Linked DNA regions of Nothobranchius furzeri. The protein of the gene in region 1 interacts with the protein of each later gene in a biochemical or structural test. Links are inferred from orthologs where the notes say so. Each region holds a gene or a part of one and is shown on either strand. Other genes may lie near its edges. The genes, in order: lef1 and transducin-like enhancer protein 1.

Region 1 (11,687 bases):
AGTTGCAGCCCTTCATGCGGAGACATTACTTCACCATTAACAGCAACCAAACTTTTGTCCAAGGGACATTGGAAGTTGCTTAAAACCAAACGTCTCCACACTGAAAAACACTTTGCTCCCGCTCCTGATTCCTTTTGTGGCCTTTTGTAGTGATGCTGGCGCAGACTTGAGGCAGCGATTGCCATGAATAATGAAAGCATCAGCCATAACCACCTCCTGCATCCCCAGCTCTAATCTCACGTATCTGTCGGCTGAGCGTTGTGCTCCTCAAGGCCAAACGAGGCACGGGCCTGCTATCAGAGGAGCAGCGACCCTCGCTGCTTATCGGTTTACATCAAAAGGCTCTGAGAGAAGGGGGGGGGGGGGGGGGGGGGGGGGTCAGCAATGAACTCCTGCAGTGGTGGAGGCCACAAAAACCTGGAAGTACATCATCTCAGAAAGCCTGCTGATGAAGCAAAAAAAAAAAAAAAAAAGGAAGACTCACATGTGCATGATGTCACTTTCATGCGGAGGTTCTTGTTTGACCTGTGGGTTGACGATGGCCGGATGGGGGATCCCTGTGGCGTGGGGACCAGGGGGGCCGGGCACCATGTGGTGAGAAAACCTGCAGGAAGAATTTAAATCAAACACACACACACACACACACACACACACACACACACACGTTCCAGTTTTATTCTGCACACCTACTGAAACCAGAATGCTCAGCTGGTGCTGAACATGCACATTCTTGTAGATTAGAAAATGATGCAAATGCAGCACAATGCTAAATTGATCACTCATTTTTAAACATGGTTTCATCTAAATATGAAGTTTCTTCCAGAAACAATCTATGTTTTAGGATTTCATCAAACATAAACTAGAGTCAAACCCTCATCTGATCATAAAATTGCCCAAAAACATCTGGATCTCTGGTTTTCAACGCGTTTTGCCTTTCCTGTTCATTTCAACATGTATAAAATCATTTATGAGTCGCTTTAGTTACCATTGAATCCTGACTTGTTTTGTTAAAACCATAACTAAACTTCCACTTTGTCACCTAAATTTAAAATCCCACTGACAGAGAAAGAGGAAAATGGAGATGAAAACATGACAGGAACTGAAAAGGCACCGGGTAAAGCAAAGACACGACGGCAGATAGAAAGGGAATTAGATCATTTTGACAAGCATGAATCTGGAAGAAGCAGGAGTGCTCTCAGAAAGCTTTGATGGAGGTTAAGAAGCCACATGGCTGTGCAGGATCACACACGCGGTGATGTGTTTGACTTGTGCTGGGCTCACAGAGGAGCAGTGTGGTCGAAGCCACAGCAGTGCACCAGAAACAGCCAAGAGGCAGACCTCCCTGTTGGAGCTGCTGCTGCAGACCAGCCACCCTCCGTTCAACACACACGCACGCACGCACGCACGCACGCGCACGCACGCACACACACACACACACACACACACACACACACACACACACACACACACACACACACACACACACACACACACACACACACACACACACACACACACACACACACACACACACACACACACACACACACACACACACACACACACACACACACACACACACACACACACACACACACACACACACACACACACACACACACACACACACACACACACACACACACACACACACACACACACACACACACACACACACACACACACACACACACACACACACACACACACACACACACACACACACACACACACACACACACACACACACACACACACACACACACACACACACACACACACACACACACACACACACACACACACCCTCCCGTCAGCATGAATCATCGAGCTTTTTACGGTCATCAGTTAGTGACTCACCATCCCAGCGGCGGCGTGATCTGCCCCACTCCCCCAGGAGACAGCGAGTAGAAATTGGACATGTCTGGTCCGGGATGATGCCTGGGCATTCCTACAAACAAAGGTCGTACACAAGCATCAAGATTTGTGAAAATGTTAACAAGTTTAATTTCTCCTTAAAGACCAGGTTCGCTCGATTCAACACATGGGCAGTGGTCTCTTGCACAAGCGTAGGTTGATCTCTGTGGGGTATAAACGTCGGCGCTCCTGTTTCAGGAAGTAGGTGTTAGCCAGGGCAGAGGGGCGCAGCAGACGGCAGGATTTGGAGTCTTTACTTCCTGATAATGTCACATCTTGCCTCTGATTGGCTGACAGCAACTCCCTTCGCTTGGCAATGTTGATGTTTCATCTCCACAAACAACACAAGCCTGGAGGAGCTCTGCCATGTTGTGGAGTTACTAATGCTAACTGTTAGCTTCTACCACCCCAGCGGTGCTCTGTGCTCACCTGGAAGCTAAAGCAACAACAGCCTTCCTCGTCTCGAGCCACGATGGGTGAGCGAAAAGCTAATTCTGTGTGGGTTATCCTAATCCGAGCGTTTCCCTGAATAGCTTCTATCAGCTGATGAAGGAAATGGGGCAGAAGACTGTTTTCACATGTAGCCTGCATGTTAAACTAAGGCCTAGTCCACACGTAGCCGGGGTTTTTAAAAAAACGAATATCCGCCCCTCCAGAAACTTGCATCCACACGTACCCGGATAAATACGTTGTTAAGGACATGCCAGACCTGTAGGCGGCAGTACTTCCCCCGTTCTTAACCTCGTCCTTCGTCTGTGGTCTTCCGCAAGCAGCAGTAATTCCTCTTGCAAAAACAAACAAGCAGAAAGCGCTTGGACGATTGATAAAGCGAGCGCAGCTCTGAGGGCATCCGTGCTGTCGGCTAGTGTAAACACAGGTCGCACTCGTGATGTCAGCATTTTTCTGTCGCGGAAAGTGACGTTGCGGACCTTAAAACTCCGGTTTTGTCCGTCCACACGCAGACACCCAAAACGGAGAAAACGCAGATCTTCACTTTGGCCGGAGTTTTTAAAAAGATCCGTTTTCGTGTGGATGACAGGCCGAAACGTAGGAAAATATCTACGTTTTGGCAGATCCCGTCTACGTGTGGACAGGGCCTCAGAGTGACTGATCAGATTTCAAACATAAGTACAAAAAAAAGTTCTCAGTGAACTTAGCCTTTAAAGAGATCTTTGAAGTGTTTGTAAAATTTGACAAGATCGCCTCCTGAACAACCTCCTCCATCCCAGCCCGTACATCAGGGCGTGAACATGCCCTCTGACCTCACCTGACCTCACCTCAATAATCTGCGGTAAATGATCATTTTTCCTAACTCTGTTCCTTCCTGTGTGTAATGGTCTCTTCCAGCGGTCTTCCTGTTGGCCTGGTATTAACCCACTCCTCTGCCAGGACTAAGCTCCTCCATTTCCAGCTCCTACTGGGCTTCAAGGTCAAGAGGTCTATTTTTGTGACAGTGCTGCAGGATGACAAACATCTGCTTCAACTTCCTGCTTTTCTGACTTGAAGCAACCGGTTTTGCCCACTTTTAAAAGGACATGCAGATTTGTGATGTAGCTGTTCACGCGCCTGTGTGTACAAAAGAAAAAAAAAAGAGGGCAAATGCTTCCAGATTAGCACCGTCTTCTAATCCCTGCTGGAGCCATCCTTTTCTCCTTGCTTCCATCTTTTCCTCCCCCTCCTCTCTCCAAGCCGTGGTCTGAAGGGGCCTCCCTCCTCCGAGAGGCAGGCCGGGTGGGAGGCTTATATCTCCAAAGCCAATGTTGCGTCGCTGGATTCGTAGCACGGATAGCTCGGCTCCCCGCTTGCTAATCCACCACCTAACACTCCTTTAGGGCCCTCCTGAGGAGGGCAGAAGGGAGGCAGGTGAGTGGCGAAGCAGTGGGGGGGAGGAAAAGAGCACCCTGATGCGTTAACCTTGTCGCTCACACGTGTATGACGCCTAATTATTCGCCCCTTCATGTTCACACGTCCCAAACAAAACGTCTTTATTTTATTTATTTTCTCCAAACACCCCCACCCCCCTCTGCTCGACCTTCCATCCCACGCAGCAGCCCTGTGCATATTAGAGCTCATAATGAGAAAATCCATGATTGTTTTTCATAATTAACGAGCAGATCAAAGTCTGAGCCCACTAAAGGAAGCACAGCAGCTATTGGTCGATATTAGGAGAGAAGAAAGAGCGAGAGGGACTGTGGAAGGGGAAAAAAGAACGGGAGAGATTTCATTTTAAGCATCTTCGGCTTAGCTCTGCTGACACACACACACACACACACACACACACACACACACACACACACACACACACACACACACACACACACACACACACACACACACACACACACACACACACACACACACACACACACACACACACACACACACACACACACACACACACACACACACACACACACACACACACACACACACACACACACACACACACACACACACACACACACACACACACAGCCTGGGGAAATTATTTGTAGCTAATTCTGCAACTGGATAGCTTGGACATGGATTTCTGTTAGGCTGTGAGTGCAGAGATCAAGGAGTTGCCAACGGGGGAATTATTGCGTCTTTTTTTGTGAAAAGCAAAATTTCACACAGAAAAAGACGGGTGCATTTGTTGTTGTGTTGCCTGTTAGTCCTTTTATGCATCTATTACAATAAAGCTCTCATCTGTTTCAGAAGCTTTGCAGATGTGGAGCGTTGTCTCTTTACGTGTCCCGCTCCCTTCATCTCCCTGCACCGCATACATTCACGCTTCGTTCCGTAGGATTATTTATAGCCGGTCCCTCAGAGCCTCCCATCCTTCTCATCATCATCACCTACATCTCCTCGTACTCCTCATCCTTTTCAAGTGACAGTTGCAGGAGAAGAAAGCGGAGGAAAGTGAAAAGGTGCGGGACAAAACCACGCTTGGCCCACGTCTTTTTTTGAATTTTTCTCCTCCTCTGCTAGCATCAGTGAGATGCTGCCAAAGCCTCCAGCTGCGCAGGGCTGAAGGAGCTCGTCCAAACGGCAGAGGAGCTCTTCTGCAGCTGTCAGAGCTGCAGCTTGATGTTATTCCTGAGAGGCAACGAGTGCAGAGGGAGAGGGCAACGAGCTCAGCGCGACATCCCACCGGCTGCTTCAAATGACTTCACAGCAAAAGATGGTGGCAGGGTGACTTCGCTCCGACATATTTCTGTGTGTGTGTCTCAACGGATTCCTGACGGTGTTGACAGTCGTTTAAAAAAAGAATACTTGTGCTGCCTCCGAGATGACTTCCAATATTTTTAGCATAAACTGCACATCATCCAATAATGGCTTTAACGTACGAGTTTGATCAATGGTAGCATGGACGTAATTTTGGGGGGGGGGACAGGGGGGACATGCCCCCCCCACACACTTTTTCCAAAGTCAAGTTTTGACCCCTGCACTTTTTACCATCCAAAAACAATATTACGCTATATTAAATTGACACTGGTTGAGCTCTAGGACCAAGCAGAAAACAACCGTTTGTGTTGAAGCCGGTTTCCCATTAGAGCATACTGTAAAGCCCCCCCCCCCCCCCCCCCCCCACTGTCCCCCCCACTTCTAAAGTGAAAATTGTGTCCATGAATGGTAGATTGGAGCTTCTGTAAAAGCGAGACCACATTTTAGATTTCATTTGTTTAAGCTTGATTCATGATCTGGGATTATGGAGGTGTTCTCTTAAAACAGGCACCCAGATTTGACACGTAAAGCCAGAGTCTTAGGGTCGGGTTATGCTTGCTTTTTACGTGTTTTGGCGCAGGCTGCGTCTTTTTTCACATGCTTGCTGCTGCACGGCACTGCGCTGCACGTAGTACTGAAGGACTTCGTTAGGGGGCTCAGTTCAGACCGATAGAGTCCAGGGTTTGTTCGAAACAAACATCGTGTCAATAGAAAAGATCTGTTTCATTTGGAGATCCCGGCAGGAAAAACGACAGCAGCGGTATCATAGATAGTATGGAAGTCCTCTAAACCATGGTGGGTGTCTCACATGTTTAGTTAACTCCGCCTACTGGTTACTCGTATACTGCAGCGTTCGAACGCGTCTCGTTAATTTCGGGGGATGCGCACAAACAACATTTTAAATCAACGCACATTACAGGAGACAGTCATAATAAACATGTATATACACACTGTTAAAACCAAGCATTTTGCAGCCCTTAAGCCTGATTTATACATCTCCGTCAGCTCCGCTAGGCAGAGACACACTCATTGACAGAGATGTTTTGCTCTCGGACTTCTCCGTCACCTGGGGAGTGTTGCAAAGCAGTTCCCCGCCAGGACAGCAGAGGGAGTAGCTCTGTTCTGGCGTATCATGCCACCATTACACCCATGTATCCGATCCCACGATAGTGAATGTGTTCATGTATTTTAGAGACTTTATAACATTCTCATTCTCCTCCACCTCTTCATGCGGTCGCCACCTCTAAACCCACGTTTCCTGCCATTTCCATCCATGAATAAAACATTTGCTCCGTGTTTTTGTACTCCTTCAGTCACAGATGAAAAATGTCGCTGGTTTTGGGCCACGACTAGTTTCTACTCCTATTAGAGTCATCACAGCTGTCTGGAACCCGTCTCAAACCCTTCTCAATGTAGTTTTTGAGAGTCAAAGTTCAAAGAACTCAATACGATGGAGCAGTTAGTAAACAAACTTGAAATGGCATGCGGGGTAAACTGTAAGCAAATCGAGACACGTTAGAACTAAACCGCCACAAGAAACATTAGCAGGGCAGTTCCCTTCTGTTCGCCCAACATAACACTGCCGTACTCAAACTTCTTCCTCGAGGATCATTTGTACAAATTTATTGAAGTTCCAACTAACAATCTGTTGATGTTCCTGCAAACAGTTGCATCCCAGTCAGATGCTGGATTAGAGACCGACTCGGGTGCTTTTTCCTTCACAGTTCGAGACGACTCAGACAACACAAAACGACGTTGTGTCGGCGTGTCTCTTACCTTGTTTGTTGCTGGCATCCTGGGGATGATGGCCTGAATGGGAGCCTGGAGCAAAGTGCTCATCGCTGTACGTGATCAGTGGTGTGAGAGGGTGGACTGCATGGGACGGCTGCACAACAGGGACTTTATTGGACTGTGGAAACAAAAGCAAATTGGTCAGATTACAATAAAATTTTTGATTTTTCACATGAACACTATGGACCTAATGTCGTTTCTGTCATGCAGAAGCAGGACGCTGGCTCAGCTAGTGCAGCACAGGCTCTACCTCCACCCTGATGAAAAGGTAACTGCTCCACCGACACTCACCAACATGGACACTGCACCTTATTCATATTTACAAATCGTGTTTCTATGTATACTGCAATGCAACCAGTATTATTATCTTCCAACGGTATTTATTACAACCTTATTTATTACGGTTTTAGCAAAACCCCTCCCCCCAACCTCAACTCAATGCCATACACAGCTTTTTTTTAAATACACAATTCTTCCTTTTAGTACATACTTGTTATTTTATCTCTTCTGTGTACCGCATATACACGGAGAGACGCCAAAGCGCCTTCCACTGTTCTTGCAGCAGTGGCAATACAGACTGATTCCATTCTAAAACACATTGTTCCCGTTTGTTGTTGAGCCCAGCAGCTCTACACTTTCAGCACAGGTCAGCGGGATTAAAGACGCCACTCCCTGAAGAAACGAGAGAAAAATAAATAAAAGCAAAGATGTGTGTGTTTGGGGGTGAAGCAGAAAGAAGGACGCAAACAGAAGAGAAGCGAACGGGGCGAGCGACGGAGCAGAGAGGGGAGAGAAATGAGAGACTTGCAAGGTATGGAGCAGAGGTCTGAGGCGGGAGATCAAAGGCAGTCATTAGCTGGTGAATAAGGGGAGTTCATTACAGAGCAAGAGCCGGGGGAGGTGGGGTGGGGAGGGGAGGGGCTTGACTGGTGAGAAAGCCGGAGCGAGGCAGATGTCTGCAGCGGTTCTTAACCCAACGTAGAGGTTATCACGTCAACAGTGGCCCGTCCATGGACCCCCAGTCCCCGGCTGGCTCACACAGACCATACCTGTTCACAATTAGCAGTTCAACCCCCCCCCCCCAGCTGCACCAAACACATGGGAATGCTTAGCCGTGCTAAATCTGCCATTCACAATCCGAGCCCAGAGCAGAGCTGGAGTCAAAATATCACCTCTACAGGACATACGGCTAATCTGTGAAAGGCTGGACACGCCCTGAACGATTCTGCTCCACTTTTATTAAACCTGTAGACCCCGGTCGAAACCATTTACTGAAAAGTTCTTATTAGCTTCTTTCCATCTGAACACTTGTGAGCCAAAGGGACATTCTCGCAGTCCTAAGTGGAGACTGGTGGTCACACCCCCCACCACACACACATATTCATCAAACCCCTCGAACACGGGGTGTCTGGAATGTTGGATACACCTCTCGCAGACTGGCACCAGCTTCGGTTCAAAGCCTTTCCCATTTTGGGAACGTCCTAACCAGGATCCTGACAGACGGGGCATGTGAGTTTTTTCCGCTCAAAGTTAGCAACGGGCAAAAATCAGACCGACTTCCTGTTCCCACCTTGATGAACATTGAACACCATGGTAGTTTCATAGCAATTCCACACCAACCCAGGTGAAAAGGAGCTCTGTGACCCCCCCTCCCAGTCACCGAGAGTCAGAGGTGATGGGATAATCTTTGAGTCAGAGTGCTCGACCCCATCCGACCGAGGGGAAGGCTGCTAAACCTAAAAGAGGGACTAACCAGGGATGAAGAGACTGGACATGCCTTCACCAGAGGCTAAATGATGCCATTCTCACCCGTATTATTTTACGCCTCTCCTCTCCCATTTGTTATCCTGTGGGAATGAGATAAGAGCCTAGGAGATTACCATTATAGCCATGATTCCTCAGACTTTGAGTAAAGAGCAGGACAAAGACCAAGCTAATGGAAACGAATCACTCTGCCGTCGTTGTTTTAATAAAACAGAAGTGTAAAGGGTAACCGAGTCTTTAACCAGACGCGCCAACCACAGCGGAGAACCTCTCCCTCTCGTGGTTACAGCTGTCAAATCCAATTTTTCTTAATTTCTTAATAAAACCCTTCTTCCATTGTGGAGGAAACAGGGAATCCACCACGGAAGAGGCTGGAAGTCTCTGTGACCAATACGGGTGCATTTACCCACACTGGTTTATCCAATCCTGATTTGCTTTTAGAAGAACAGAACAACAATTCCTTTCACAAGAATTCTAAAAGCTTCATCAATAACTCCAGATAACATCAAACGTGACGACGAAAACTCGAGACGCTGCTGGTTTTTGGACTAAAAAATGTTGAACGTGAAAGCCAAAAGCTCTACAACTACCTAGGATGAATCAGCTGAAAGTTGAGGGGTTTCTCCAAAAAAAGACCGATTGACCGGTTGTGTCACCTCTCTCCCCACACAGGCTCTCAAACCCACAGCAGCATCGCTGTTTCATAGAGGGTAGCCATATTGGAGGTGCCCTTTGTTGTACATGAGAAATAATAGGCTTAGGATCTTTCTTTTCACTTTTTTTGGGGGGGCAGCAGAAGCGAGGCAGGGAGAACTGAAAAGCAAACGTTCCATTTGGAATATCATATCCAGCCTCGGCCGGTCCTTTTTTTTAAAAACAAAGCCCTTCAGATGTGGTTTTAAACCAAATTCATTGTGCGGAACTGAAGCTGGCAGGAAGCCCTCGACAGACGAGGCGCTCCAGTGTGTTTCAGTGAGGGAAGCTGGTGTGTCGTCTCAAACCGGGGGCGGGGAAGACAACTGGGATGTAGACGTTTGGTCTTTTCATTTCTGGTCCTATTCCGCCATCATAATGTTGTGTGTTTATATGAAGCAACCATTCCTCCAATATTTCCTCTTCAGCCATCCCTCCCTCCCGCCTCACAGCACCGCTTTTGTACTCTGCTCAATTATACCACTTCTGCAGAGTGGAGTGGGGGGAAAAGTGGGAATTTCATAATAATCACTTCCCACTTCTGTAATTTATATGCAATGAGGACTCTTTCATGCCCGCAGCTACAATCAAGAGTATAAGGAACCGTGTGAGGTGTTTCACAAACAGCTGGGGAGATGGCAGCTTGAGTAGTGGTGATGGATTCCCATGCTGCTAAATCTATTCACCAAGAAGCCCCTCTCACCCTAGCACCCATCTTCACCCACTCATGTGATTTTCTGCACTCCGAAGTGAGAAAGATGCACAAAAAATGGCATGGAGTAATAACAGAGGGGAAAAAAACGTGAGGCAAGAAATTTTAATAACAAAAGTTTGCTGCATTTTTGCACCAATATTATGACATGATTGCTGCTTCAGGAAATATGTTATAATTACATCAGAGTCCTACCAGAACACCAACCCTCTGAATGCATAAATGATGTTTAGCTACTGTTTCTACAGACAATGCAACCAGAGATGAAGGTTACGGAGACAAAAGCATCAGCAAACACCAAACGGTTGAGTATGAAGCAAGGGTGTGGCCATTCCAGAATTCCTACGCTTGTCCCAAGACCAGGTGTGTTTGTGCGCAACTCGGACGACCTTTTTGCAACAAAAGAGAGCAAACATTGTAATGTAGTAGCTTTGGGACACTGTGGGAACAGAGAAGGCGCCGTACCTCCCTCTTTACCAAAAATCAGTCGGAGACCAACCTGCAGAAGCTTAAATAAATAACCAATTACCATTCGCAGAGCCGGCTGAACCCCACCAGCAACGAGTGAAGTGCTAAAAAATGAAATGTTTCAGTGGCGGGATTGCCCCTTGGCCAGGCGGCTTAATGTAACGAAACCCAATTAATGAGGAAGAAAGCTGGGCTCCCAGCGAGCTAAGGAGTGCCACGCGCCCAGGGTAATGAGACGAACAGGCGAAGCCAACCACGGGGACAGCAGCAGGGGAGGCTGCGAATAGCAGAAAAAGCCTGCCCTGGAGAGGAAAATACATCTGCTCTGCCTCCCAATCGGACTTTTTCTCCTTTCATTCCAATCAAAATCCCCTTCATGCTAATAAGAGTCCGACGGGAAGCTGCAGCCAGCTGATAGAAATGACCGCAGACCTGTGGCTGAGTGGAGTTTTAAGGAAGAAAACGTAAACATCATCTCAGGCATGTTTTGATTTTAAAGACAGTTTGTGGTTGCAGAACATGTCTAGCAGGCAAAACACTTGTCAAATGTTCCTAAAAACACTAGCTCCAACCACACAGTCAAATATTCCCAGTTAGCTACATGAATGGTGCTGCTGTGGAAATCGGGAATTGCAAAAAGGTCCAAATACATGTTCAAAAATACGTAATATCATAGAGGCAAGGCAGCAAGCGCCACAAACATGAAACATACGAACATAAAAAAAGACTCCCCTTCACGTTTAAACTCAACAGTGAATAGGACGAGATGGATTACCCATCATCCTTCAGCTGGCATAGCCGTCTTGTGCTTGAAGCAACCCTTCACGTCAGCTCGGTTGCCGACATTCTGCACGTGCAAGGAGGATAATTTGTGTGAAATGTGCCTGCCCCGATGAAAAGACTTGATCCGCTTTTTTTTTTAAGTGTTTGACTCTTAATTTCTAAGCAGTGTGGCGCCATTAACAAACCGAGAGAAACAGAACAGAACTAATCATCCCGTTTTCTCACTGCACGGTAAGCCGGAGCAGGTACAGAAAGCAAACAGGTGTTATTCTACATGACAAGTTCATATGGATAGAAGAGGTTTCAATGGCATGATTGATGCTTTCTAGGCTTTGATTAAACCAAGAAGCTT
Region 2 (12,194 bases), on another chromosome or scaffold:
TGAGTGTGTGTGTGCATGGTTGTTTGTCCAGTGTGTCTCTGTGTTGCCCTGCGATGGACTGGCTCTCTGTCCAGGGTGTACCCCGCCTACTTGCCCGTTGACTGCTGGAGATAGGCACCAGCCCCCCCGCGACCCTATGTGGACTAAGCGGGTTCAGAAGATGGATAGGTGGACACGTCATCACCCTTTACAGACAGAGCTCTACAGGTGTTTAGAAGAAAAGAGCGAGCCTGCTGGCAGTGACGTGCCTGCCCTGTCGCAGGTATATGAATCATTCAGTACAGCCGCACATTGTTTAACTATTAGAAATAAGAGCAAGAAACAGCTTTTAAATATATTTGTAATAGGATCATGTTTCTCCTCTGCGTACTTTCTGAACGAGTGATATTCTTTAGCAGATAAACTGAGGGAAATACATGAGTACAGAGAACAAGAAATACATAAATAATTATAATAAATAAATAATTTTGAAGTGTTCTCTTTTTCTTATTTGAATGCATTGCTGAAGTTTCAGATTAGGACTCTGTATCAGGAGATACTGAAAATCAAATGGCTCAAAAAATGGGATTGGAACATTCAATAGATCTGTGTGGGGCTGTATTTATGTTGGTAATGTTCTCAGTGCTATTCAGATATGTGGTTCTCGAAGTTGGTGTTGGGACTCCATTATGGGTCAGAAAATACCAACTTTATGGTCGAACAAGCTGAAAATGCCCTGTGTGAATGTGTGAGTGTATGAATAATGGAAAGTGGTTTGAGTGCCTTAAAAAGCACTAAATAAATGTAATCCACTAACATTGTCAAAATGACTCCTAACAGAAATTATTCACTGTAATTAATGCATAAATGGACAAATAATAGACTAGAGTATGAGAGGGTAGACACTGTTTGGTCTGGTTTAGTGAGGTCACACATCTTTGACATTGATGTTCTGTGGAAGAGAAGCTGAAAACTGTCTAACTAGTCTAGGTGTACCATATAAAATAAACTGATACATTGACTTAATTAAAACGATGAGGTAGGCGCGTCCTGCTAAGCGTGAGCATACCCAACTTATGCAAAGAGATCTTTAAATAAAGTTCTATTTCAGGCAGACCATACATGTTCATCCATTATAGGATCCTGCTGTAAGCCAATAATTAGATTTGTGTAAAGGTTAAGTGATTATGCTGTCAGAGAATAGTTTGACCAGCTACTATTAGGTTATCCTTGCTAATCAAATTTACTACACAAAGCCAAACACACTCAAAGTTGCAAACATCATGTGAGGCTTCATCACAAACTCTTCTGAGAGATTCTTAAAGGGAAAATAAATAAATATTTTACTGCAATTCTGGAAAAACAACAATGGAAATTTTTCACAGAAGCTTTCATGTTTCTAAGTTGAGAATGGTAAAATGGCCTGTATTTGATATAGCGCCTTCTAGAGTCATGGAACCCCTCAAGGCGCTTTACAACACAATCAGTCATTCACCCATTCACACACAGGTGGAGATGAGCTATGATGTAGCCACAGCTGCCCTGGGGCGCACTGACAGAGGCGAGGCTGCCGAGCACTGGCGCCACCGGTCCCTCAGACAACCACCAGCAGGCAACGTGGGTTAAGTGTCTTGCCCAAGGACACAGCGACAGACTGAGCGGGGCTCGAACCTGCAACCTTCCGATTACGAGGCGAGCACTTAGCTCCTGAACCACCGTCGCCCCAATATAGAATATAGAAAAAGTTTCAAGCATACAAACAAAATGTCCATTAGATGAACAGGCTTCCTATTACACATATAATTGGAGCATTATTGCAACACAACACAACACATACACACACACACACACACACACACACACACGAACGCACAACACACATTTTCATGCATCCCCAGCAGGAGGTGGGTTGTTAGTCTGTATGCCCGTACCACCCGCCCACAGAAGCTTGTTGCTCTGACAACTGCAGCCCCAAGCTAATGACCTCCCCTGAAGCTTTAGTGTGTGTGTGTGTGTTTACATGTGTGTGAACAATAGGAAGAGCTGCATCTCCTTCACAATGAAAGAACAGCAGCTTCACATGGACGTAGAAAGAAAGAGGAGTCAAGGAAAAACAAAGAAAGAGGAGGAGGCAGCTTGGGGTCTGGGTGAAAACCAGAATAAAAAAGGACTGGAGAGAGAGGAAGCGATGAAAGAAAATAGGGCTGCACGATATTAGGAAAACCTGCGATATTCGATAACAGTGCTTAATATTGCGATATCGATATTACTTGCGATAAATGAACAAATACTAAAGTATGCAGTGTTATGTCATCTGGCGTGTGACGTCTGCTCTGGGTTCAAAGCAAACAAAAACTAATGCATGAATAACATAACATTTTTATGGCAAAAATATGCAGCTGCACCTGCTACTGTATTAGCAGCAAAACAACAAACTGCATGCATGCAGTTCCTCAGTGACTTTAAAACATCACCTCCACCATAAAACTTTTCTGATGCTCCAAATACAGAAAAACATCCCTCACCAGGGTCTTTTGAATAAATTAAAAAATCAGAAAATTACTTTAAATGTTAAATAATAGTTAACATCACTTAAATGCAACAGCAAATTCTCTCATTGCTACTGAGCATTTTCTCCACTTATGTGGTTATGATATAAGGCTGTTGCTGTAATTGGGAAGTGAACTGTGCTGGGCCAAACTAGGAGAATATTAAGATTTTCTGAGGGAAAGAGAAAAACAGTTGTCTACCTTTCAGAAGAGGAACTGGCAAAAATCTACATGGAAAATATGTGAAAACGTTTGTTTTTAACCCCACATTGAACAAGTTTACCTAGATCTTAAAAAGCAGCTCAGATGATGAAACTGCAACTATGATTCTGATAACAAGCTAACTAATTGAACTAGCTCCTCTTAAGATAACCAGCTAGCAGAGCTTCTGACTGACAGTTTATGTGCAGCAGCAAATCAACTATCCTGATTAACAAGGTTATAAAAGCTCATAAATGAAAAATCACATTGATGTGTGGGGGAACTTTTCCAGGCCCTCTTTAGCAGGGTGGGACTGGGAGGAGAGTGCTGTAGCCTTTTAGCTGGAAGCTAACCGGAGCCTGGGGCTAACATCACCACCCGGTGGAACACTAGCAACATGAAGGTGGGTTGGTTCACCGGCACGTGTAGGAGTCAGCCCGGTTATTATCAGCTGCTTAACGACACCAAGCGGACTCACGTTCACGTTTGAAAGCAGCGCTTAGGGATGGGTACCGAATTCGGTACTTTTTAAGTTACCGACCGAATTAAATAGTACCGACCGAGCACCGATTCACGTCGTTTCAAACGGTGCCTCGTTTCGGTACCCGTCCTTCACAACGAGAACTTGCCTAGACAGCTGCTCATGCGCACGAGCGTTAAGTCATCGGTCGCTGCGAGCGAGTTGTAAACAGAGCAGCATGGTAGAAAGAACGCACGCTAAAGCTTGGGTCCACTTCACTAAATGTGATGGGTAACTGGGTGATGATGAAACCAGCAACAGACAACGATCTAAGTGAGACATCCTCATCTTAATCTGCTCCGGTAGGTAAATAAAATGTTTAAGATAACGTTAGCTTGATATGTTAGCTTCCATTTCGCTAATGGCGAGTTCGCTTTCTCCTCGAAACTCCGAATTTCCGACTAGAACATGAACGCGCTCTAAAGTTTGGCTTCACTTTACTAAATGCGACAGGTGATTGGGTGAAGATGAAACCAGCGACAATGATCTAAGTGTGAGACATCATCGTTTTAATCTGCTCCAGCAGCTAAATAAACTGTTAAAGATAATGTTAGCTTGATATGTTAGCTTCCATTGCCACCGTTGTTATCAGCTAATGGTGCGTTCGCTTTCTCCTCGGAAATTCTAACTTCCCAGTAGGAAAAATCAAATGAAAAAAGACGGCAAAAGGAATGAAGATATACAGTAAATTTAGTTCACAGTAAAGATGTTTGCTTCAGTTTAATTATCAGCTTATAAAACTACAAGGACGATGTTAAAATACAAACAGCTGTATGTTATTTATCGTGATATTTATCAAATATGGTTATATATTGAGAAAAATATATATTTAATTATAAAAGAGAATTAAAATAATAAACACTCAAAAGTATCAAAAATTGGTACCGTTAAGTACTGGTATCGATTCCTAGGTACCGGGAATTAGTACCGGATCGATTCAAATGTCAAAGGTACCCATCCCTAGCGCTGATTCCAGAAACGTCAGCACAAAGTGTGTTCGTTGCTCTGAGCCAGCATGACGAACAAGGAAACGGCGCCGCTAACTCAGTTCGGGTGTTGCGTTCCACCCATCCTGTCTACGTAGGGGCGGGCGTATTATGTGAACGGACCCATCTGATTGGCCGCATATCAGAAGGACTACATTTGATTGGTCAAATAATACTTCCACATAAAAAACAGAGCTGGTTTACAAAAAGTTGATGTATGACATGGATGGAAATGTTTGAACCAAACATTTATCGCCGTTTTTGACGTGTTTTGCGATGGGCCTATCGCACGTCCTGTTATCCCGATGACGATAATTTTTCGATATATTGTGCAGCCCTAAAAGAAAAGAACAGAACCTGGGGGTGTAAAACAGAGAGAATAACAGCAAAGGAGGTAGAGAATGTGAGAGCAACACTAAAGGAAAAGAGTTTAAAAAAAAAAGAAAAAAAGAAATGCATCCTCTACTTTCAGTGAAGTAGCCAAGCCAATCCACCTCCAATTTCCTCTGGTCTGACTGGTCGATAGCAGTGGTAATTACTGGTAAATGCTCTAAGCCCTGCACTACTCCTGTGGGAAATGTGAATAAAAGAAGGTGAGTGTTTTCTCCTGCAGTCAGAAATATATTTGTGTACACTCATGCATAAACATGCTTAACCTTCAGTATTTGTGCATGCATTACGCTGTATGAACTGCAGTAAATTACCCATGGCCTCATTTGCACACATTATTTAGAGTTTAGGACGAATGCCCTGTCTGGTTTGTAAACACAAGTATCCTTGCTACATCGTCTCATACGTTTGCATCTGCTTCTACAAAAGGGGAGCGACACTGTATCTCCTCAGCTGGCCTCACGTTGATCGATTCCTCTGCCCTCCCCAGCCCGGCCCATCTAATGTAATAAAGCAGACCGCTCCCCTAGACAGCACCAATCAATCTACAGAGCCATTCATTCTGCCTCTAGACTCGGCTGGCCGGCCCTAACTGGGAAAATGGAGACAGAGCCCCATCGATCACAAATAAACACACATCCACTGCAGAATAACACACACACACACACACACACACACACACACACACACACACACACACACACACACAAACAAATTAACAGACAAACACTTTTGAGCACGTACACACACACCCATGCTAAATACATCAAAATCCTGCCAAGAGGAAGTGGAAAAGGGGAGATGTACAGATCAGATAAGCAGCCATACCTGTTTGTGCATTTCTATGTTGAGCCCGTATGACATCTCGTAGTACTGAGGACAGAGTCACACAGTTAGCTTAGTCAGAGAAATCTTTTATTTTCACAACAATTAGTTTTTTTTAAACTGTGCAACACTCTTTAAAGGCCCCAGGAGTAATCACATTTCCTGTAGAAAGCCCACCATTCAAATGAGTCACTTTCCGTTAGAGGTAGAGTGCCTCAAAAGTGAATTAAAAGCCTTAAACACGCCTCCTTTTAACTCAGCTTACGTAAAAATATTGAAACTTTGAGGTTAAAACTGAAAGTTTATGTGATGCAAATCTGCTGCTGTTGTCTTTTGAGATCTCAGTTTTGCTTTTATTTAGGATGTTGTGTAGTTCTTACATTTAGTTTTTATTGCCGTTTTTCACCCTAGCGTCATTAAACTGATAAAAACGAAGCAGTCTAATCTCACTTTTTGTTGTGTCTGAGTAAGGAAAAGATCATTTTTACACAAAAAGCAGGTGTTACTTTCAAGTTATTGTTTTATTTTAACTTAAATAGGACTTCCCCTTGTTCAGGTAAACTCCATGAAAATCTTTTACACATCTGGAAATGGAACAACATGATCTTCCCCAAGGGCACCTCAGTGGCCTTCCTGCAGCATGTCATGTGAGGCATCGCAGCGAAAGGATCTTACCATGACATAGTGTCTCTGCATCTCGGTCTTTTCACTGGCCAGCTTCTCACACTCCAGTTTCAGGCTGCAAAATATAAAGCAGTGCACTGTTTAGAGGAAAAATAAAACTTTTTGAAAGCTTAACAAGTTCGGTTTTATTTGCCCTATATTTAAAGTAAGCACATAACAACTGTCTCTTGTCTTAAAACACCAATTCTCTTTGGAGCACCCATATGGATGATTGCAAACACAACTAGAATCACAAATTCTTGCAGTGACGTGATGAGTGTGTTCAATGCAGTATGCAGATTTATTAGTCTGAGAGCCAGTGGCTTTCACCCATCATTACGCCAACTACGCCAACTTGCACTGAAAACGCAATTAAATAAAAGTGGGTAGAGCTTCCACAAAACAGAATAAGTATGCAAAATAAGCCCAACAGTGGAGGGGAAAAACAGCGACTAATTCATAAAACCCTGAGCCCACATGACTCTTTGCTTTGGCTCTCACCCATCACTAAGACTTGGACCTACCGCAGTGTAAATGTTAAAAATGGTGCCTGCTGCATGCTTTTATGTGAACATAATCCAGGTTTATGGGTTAGTCTGAGCTCAGACCTGGGGTTTTTAGTGTGGGAGAGGGTGACGACTGTGGTTACACTGAGGTTTGATGTTGATGGGTAGACAGACGTGTGTGTGTGTGTGTGTATGTGTGTGTGTTTGTTCCACCTGTGGTACTGTGCCTGGAGGAACTGGAACTCCTCCTTTATGCGGTCCAGTGACTCTGGGATGGTGAACTTGAAGGGCTGGCCCGGAGCCTGATGGGGCGTCTAACACAAACACACAGGATTATCAACACCACGATGCCAAGTGGAGCCTGATATTAGTTTTTAAAAGTTCAGAGCTTCACTTCAAGTCTAAAAACTTGACTCTGTGATTGTAGAGCTCGGGTATCAGAAGGGAACCGCGGAGGAGGATGAAAAACAACTAAAACAGGAAGAAACTTACCGGGTGTCGCCCCTGGGGGAACATCGTTGCCTATCTCAGCGAGGATGCCGCGTGTCCTTCCTGAATCCCAGATAACGAGGGATCGAATAAGCACTGGGGTGTGTGAAGCTCCTCACGGACACGTATCCATCCGCCTTTTCTTTTATTAGAGTACCAACTGAATGTTAAATTCAAGCCTTGCAGTTTGCGGGCTCACCAAGCGTTTAACGGGAATGCCCCGACTCCTCCTCGCACCGACCCTCCGGATCGTTGTCTCTTCTTGTGCTCCAGCGACAGCGCAAGCGTTAAGTCAACCGGAAAAGCACCGCTCGTTACCTGGAGGCAGCAAAGGCTGGGAGGCGGGTCGGAACCAGGTGTAGTTTAAAGTATTCCGAGTCAAGCAAACACAGAGTAAAACACTCAAAAAACACCCAACGAGTCGGAACACACACAGCCACAAACTGTCCGCTCTCGGAGCATCAGACACGTAATATCCACACAAGTTAATTGCAGTGAAGAGTTCCCACTTGACTCGTCGCGGTCGTTGGTTGGCGGTTAAACAGTCAATAAAAGCAGAATTAATAATTTCCACGGTGACCTCGGGTGGGAAGCTACGTCCAAAACATATTTCACCGAAAAAAAGAGGAAATATATCGTTAATTTTATAAACAAAAATCTACAAACCAGCGCGAGCACTCTAACGTCTAGCTCTGCTTTACCTCAATGGCAACTTTCTCACGCGGTTTCACGCTTCCCATCTAACCGAAACTCAAGACCAGCCCACAAAATGCCTGCTGGCCAATCAAAAAAGCCGCTCCACGTGGGGACGAGAATACGGCATGTGGAATTGTCCAATAGCGGATTTGAAAAATTCCTAAAGTCCATTGACCTCGCGGAGCTTTGCGATTTTTGACCAATCAGCGCCTCGAACGAGCCTGCCACTTCGGAAGCGCGCGGGGCGGGCAGTGCGGTGGGTAATGGCCATCTGTCAATCAAAGTAACGTGGGTTTAAGCAGGAGCGGCGCGCGCACATGAACGTAAACACAGGCATAAACAAACAAAAATAAAAAAGATAGAAAAACGGCTTTTCTTGCTCCTTCTCAGCCAGTGTCATGGCAAATCAACAGAATTATTCTTTTCCCTCGTTTCTTTGTAAGCACCTATTCATTATCTGACACTTCATGGCCCACTTCTCTAGAAAATAAATACGATTTTCATCAGATTCATTTGATTTGTGCTTTGTTTTAGAGCCAGTAAGGTGCTGTAGAGGACTTTACAAATGTATCCTAGTCTATACTGTGAATACAAAAGAAAAGGAAACATGTCAGGAGACAGCCCACATAATATTAAAATGTTTTGCTCAAACAAGACACAGGACAAGGAGGGAAAAATGTAAAAATGTAGTCATTTAATGATGTCTTGCATTGTATAAATGCCAAGATGATAGTGAGAAAATGAAAAAAAGAGAAGATTTGGTAAACAAATGTACAAAACCTCCATTATAGGCACAAATTCTAACCTTTGCCATGTTTCAACTGGATAAAGTCTGACCTCATGATTAGACTAATTCCTGTGCTGGTCTTTATTTTCTCACTAATGTCAATATTTCATTGTTAAAAAGTGACTTGTGTTGTTTGCAAAGTCTTTGATCACTTTGAATCAGCAATAACCCTCACATGTAACAATCATGAATAACGTTAAGGCTTGAGTTGCTCATATTTATCTCCTCTAGCTCCTTAACTCTACAAGTTTCACTGATAAACAACCTCATCCTGATCAGTGAGTTGGCTGGAACTGGATCAGGCTCGTTTTCTCTGCTCCACCTATTCCATCTAAGCACCCCTCACTTCACATGGAAAGCCCCAGAGCCCCGCGCTGACCTGCGTTTGGCTTAAAGAGCTCAACCCTTGACCTCTCACCCTCTGACACCTGCAGCGGCTGATCCAGACCAAATGAGAGACTCCAGACTGTTACCATCGCCATTTTTCCACAACTCCAGCACAAAAATGTCAGCTCGACACATTTGTTTGTGCTTCATGCAATCGTTTCTTTTATCTTCTTCCTCTTTAACCTCTAATTTATTTGAAATAAACCAATCACAATCTAAATCAGTAAGTTTTCTGCATTTTTATTTAATGAAAATAAGGGAATTTTTCATCCTTTCTCTGAAAACCCGAATTTATTTAAAGGTGTGGAACTCTGAAAAAAACATTTTTAATGACTAGTTCTGATTGTAATAGTTCACTGTGAGTTTTCATGCAGGATGAACATGAAAATGGTCTCCTACATCTATCTGCTAGTTTAGCTTCTGATAGAAAATAGACGGTGAAACACTAGGATTTGAAAAGCCTGACAAATCTAGGTCACACTGTCAATTTTGGCTCGCAACGGGGAAGGCGGTTGTTGGTTTAACGTCCAAGAATCAGCAGACAAGGTCCTGACTGGTAGAAGCTAATCATTAGCATTAGCAACACCGTCACACAGAAAAACCCCTCGTGACTTGTGTTACTTGTGGAGATAAAACACCCACGTTGCAAGTCAGTGGTAGTGCTGTGTTGCTGTTATCCAGTCTGAGGTGAGATATCCAAATATCTGGAAATAAACCTGCTGATCCAAGCACTTTTGGGCTTTTCTCGCTCTGGTTTGCAAGGCATTCATTCCTAGAGACTACTGCAAATCTATTGATTAAACACACAGCAATGCAACCCTACCACTGACTTGCAACGTGGATGTTTTATCTCCACAAACAACCACCAGGAGGAGATTTTCCATGTAGTGGTGTTGCTAATGCTAGCTTACTTTTAGCTCATACTAGTCGGTACGTTGTCTGCTGATTCCTGGACGTTAAACCAACAACAGCCTTCCCCGTTGCAAGTCAAGATTGATGTGTCCGTGAATGTTAAGTGACAGTTAATGCATTTGCATACGCATCACAAAACCAAAGTATTGCCCTAAAATTACTTGTGTCAGTTTTTTAATTGCATGAAAACAGGTCAGCCGAACTAAACATATTTTCTATCAGAAGCTAATGCAGGAGATAGGTGTAGGAGACTATTTTCATGTTCAGCCTGCACGAGAAATTCAGTGACCAGACCACACCTTTAAAAGAAATACAAATTTTGCCTTTTTATTAATAATAAGATGTAAGGCGATCGCAGACAAATTGTTTTTGTTGTTAAGAAAAGTGAAATCTACATTCATGTGCCTAAAGGAACTTCTCTCCATAGATTGCTGTTGGTTTAAAAGCAGAACTTGAGACAATGCTCATGGATTCCTAAAAAAAAGAGGCAACACTAAACATTTCTGGTCAGTTCTTTATTAGCGCTCTAAAAAGAGCAGCCACGAGGACAGTGCCAAACAACTTGTTTTACCCCTTCATCCAAATTCAGTTTGGATTTTGCATGCACGTTATTTTCATCATCTCATCACTTCCTACAAATGCAAAACCTCCTCTGATGAAATCACCCGTTTTTTCACGCACCCTAGTTAGCTGCAGACCAAAGCTTTGCAAATATGGCCCCTTGCCTCAGAATGTTACTCGGTGTAACACCAAATTATCATACCCCAGAGAATTAGGAGATAAGCAAATGGAGGATTTACGCAGTATTTTAATGAGATACATGAAAGATTTGGGTTTTCTGTAGGTTTGCCAGTTTCAGACTGCTGCCTAAACACTCAGTCATGATGCTAATCAGTGACCTTTAAAACCTCACGTGACTGAAAACAGGGTTGAAGTCTAGACTGGGATCAGAGTAGATTATTTTTTTCTATTTCATCGTGAAACGTTTTGATTCTTTACAATTTTTAACCACTACCTTTGCCACTTTAAAGGTGTGGGAAACTTGTTTCGTCAATACATTTGCAAGCTGTACTCAGGTCAAAAAGATCCCAGAAGCACTTGGATCAGAATGGAAAAGTCTGCTGCACAACACGGCAGGATTTGATCCCTTATGTCCTGATTTCTGGAAATCTCACTTCGGATTGGATAACAGCACCACGACTCTACCACTGACTTGCTAAACAAACAACAGCCTGCCCCTTGTGAGTCAAGACTGACGAGTCCATGAATGTGAAGTGATAGTCAGTGCGTTTACATGCACATCAGAAAACAAAAGTACTGCTGTAAAAAGACTTGCATCAGTTTTTTTAATTGCTTGTAAACGTGTTAGTGTGGCTGATAGCGGACTGGTTCTAATCGAGCTGAAGCACCCAGATAACGCGGTAGCCATCCAAATGCATTCTGCATGTAAACAGGTCAGCCGAACTGAACCAGATTTTCTGTCAGAAGCTAATGCGGGATAGCCTGGCAAGCCAGACTAAATAAATGTATTATTTAGTCTGGCCACGCTCCATTGACGGCTCTCGGCTGTGGGGCGGGTTCTACCGTTGTCTTTCAAATGATTTCCGCATTCCACTGGACAATGAATGAGTGCATTTACATGCAGCCAGTAACCCTTTTAAAACCCGAATATTCACAATAACCCGGTTCCGCACGGCCATGTAAACACAGCCAAAAACCCGGATATGCTCATAACCGGGTTTTTAAAAACCCGGTTACTACACCTGGGGGTAACCCTTTTCTAACCCGAATGTTTGGTCGTGTAAACGCATACCTGGATATCCCCATCAAAGCGTGTGTTCTGCGCATGCTCTGTTCGCAAGGAATCTTGGTCTTTTGAGTAGCGAGACGTCTTGTATGCGCCAGAACACCGGAAGTAAACAACAAGTTGGGAGCAACGTGGCGAGTCGCGGCACAGCACCACACTTTTGGAGTGACGAGGAAACTAAAGCGCAAACAAACGCGGTCGCTATCTCTTCCGAACTGGGAAACATGTTGTTGTTTTCACGATACCGGAACAAGAAGAACCGCATATTGCGTCTGGGCCTAGTCCATACGTCCTGTCGCTACCCCAACGTCCGCATTTAAATTGGGTTATGCAAGTTAGGAGTAACTCTTTCTATTTATGCTTGTAAACGGGTTATTCTGATCAACTCAGAAACCCGAATACCGACCTTAACCCGATCATAACCCGGATATTGGCTGCATGCAAACGTAGTCATGTGACATACTCTTGTTTCACTCTGTTGCATCATCCCACCCACC

Evidence for each region.
Region 2: the proteins of lef1 (region 1) and transducin-like enhancer protein 1 form a complex in vitro, tested with the Homo sapiens proteins (2 studies listed by BioGRID and IntAct, with this or other methods). The link is inferred for Nothobranchius furzeri from reciprocal best matches to the Homo sapiens genes LEF1 and TLE1.

Annotation. Positions count from the first base shown.
Region 1 is NC_091746.1:81,734,093-81,745,779, forward strand, and holds part of lef1 (lymphoid enhancer-binding factor 1), read right to left. Parts: intron 7,034-11,687; coding exon 6,901-7,033; intron 1,952-6,900; coding exon 1,861-1,951; intron 605-1,860; coding exon 485-604; intron 1-484. UniProt on the Homo sapiens protein: Transcription factor that binds DNA in a sequence-specific manner. Participates in the Wnt signaling pathway. Activates transcription of target genes in the presence of CTNNB1 and EP300.
Region 2 is NC_091757.1:48,849,207-48,861,400, forward strand, and holds the start of transducin-like enhancer protein 1, read right to left. Parts: upstream 7,334-12,194; 5' UTR 7,136-7,333; coding exon 7,112-7,135; intron 6,934-7,111; coding exon 6,833-6,933; intron 6,190-6,832; coding exon 6,126-6,189; intron 5,499-6,125; coding exon 5,454-5,498; intron 1-5,453. UniProt on the Homo sapiens protein: Transcriptional corepressor that binds to a number of transcription factors. Inhibits NF-kappa-B-regulated gene expression. Inhibits the transcriptional activation mediated by FOXA2, and by CTNNB1 and TCF family members in Wnt signaling.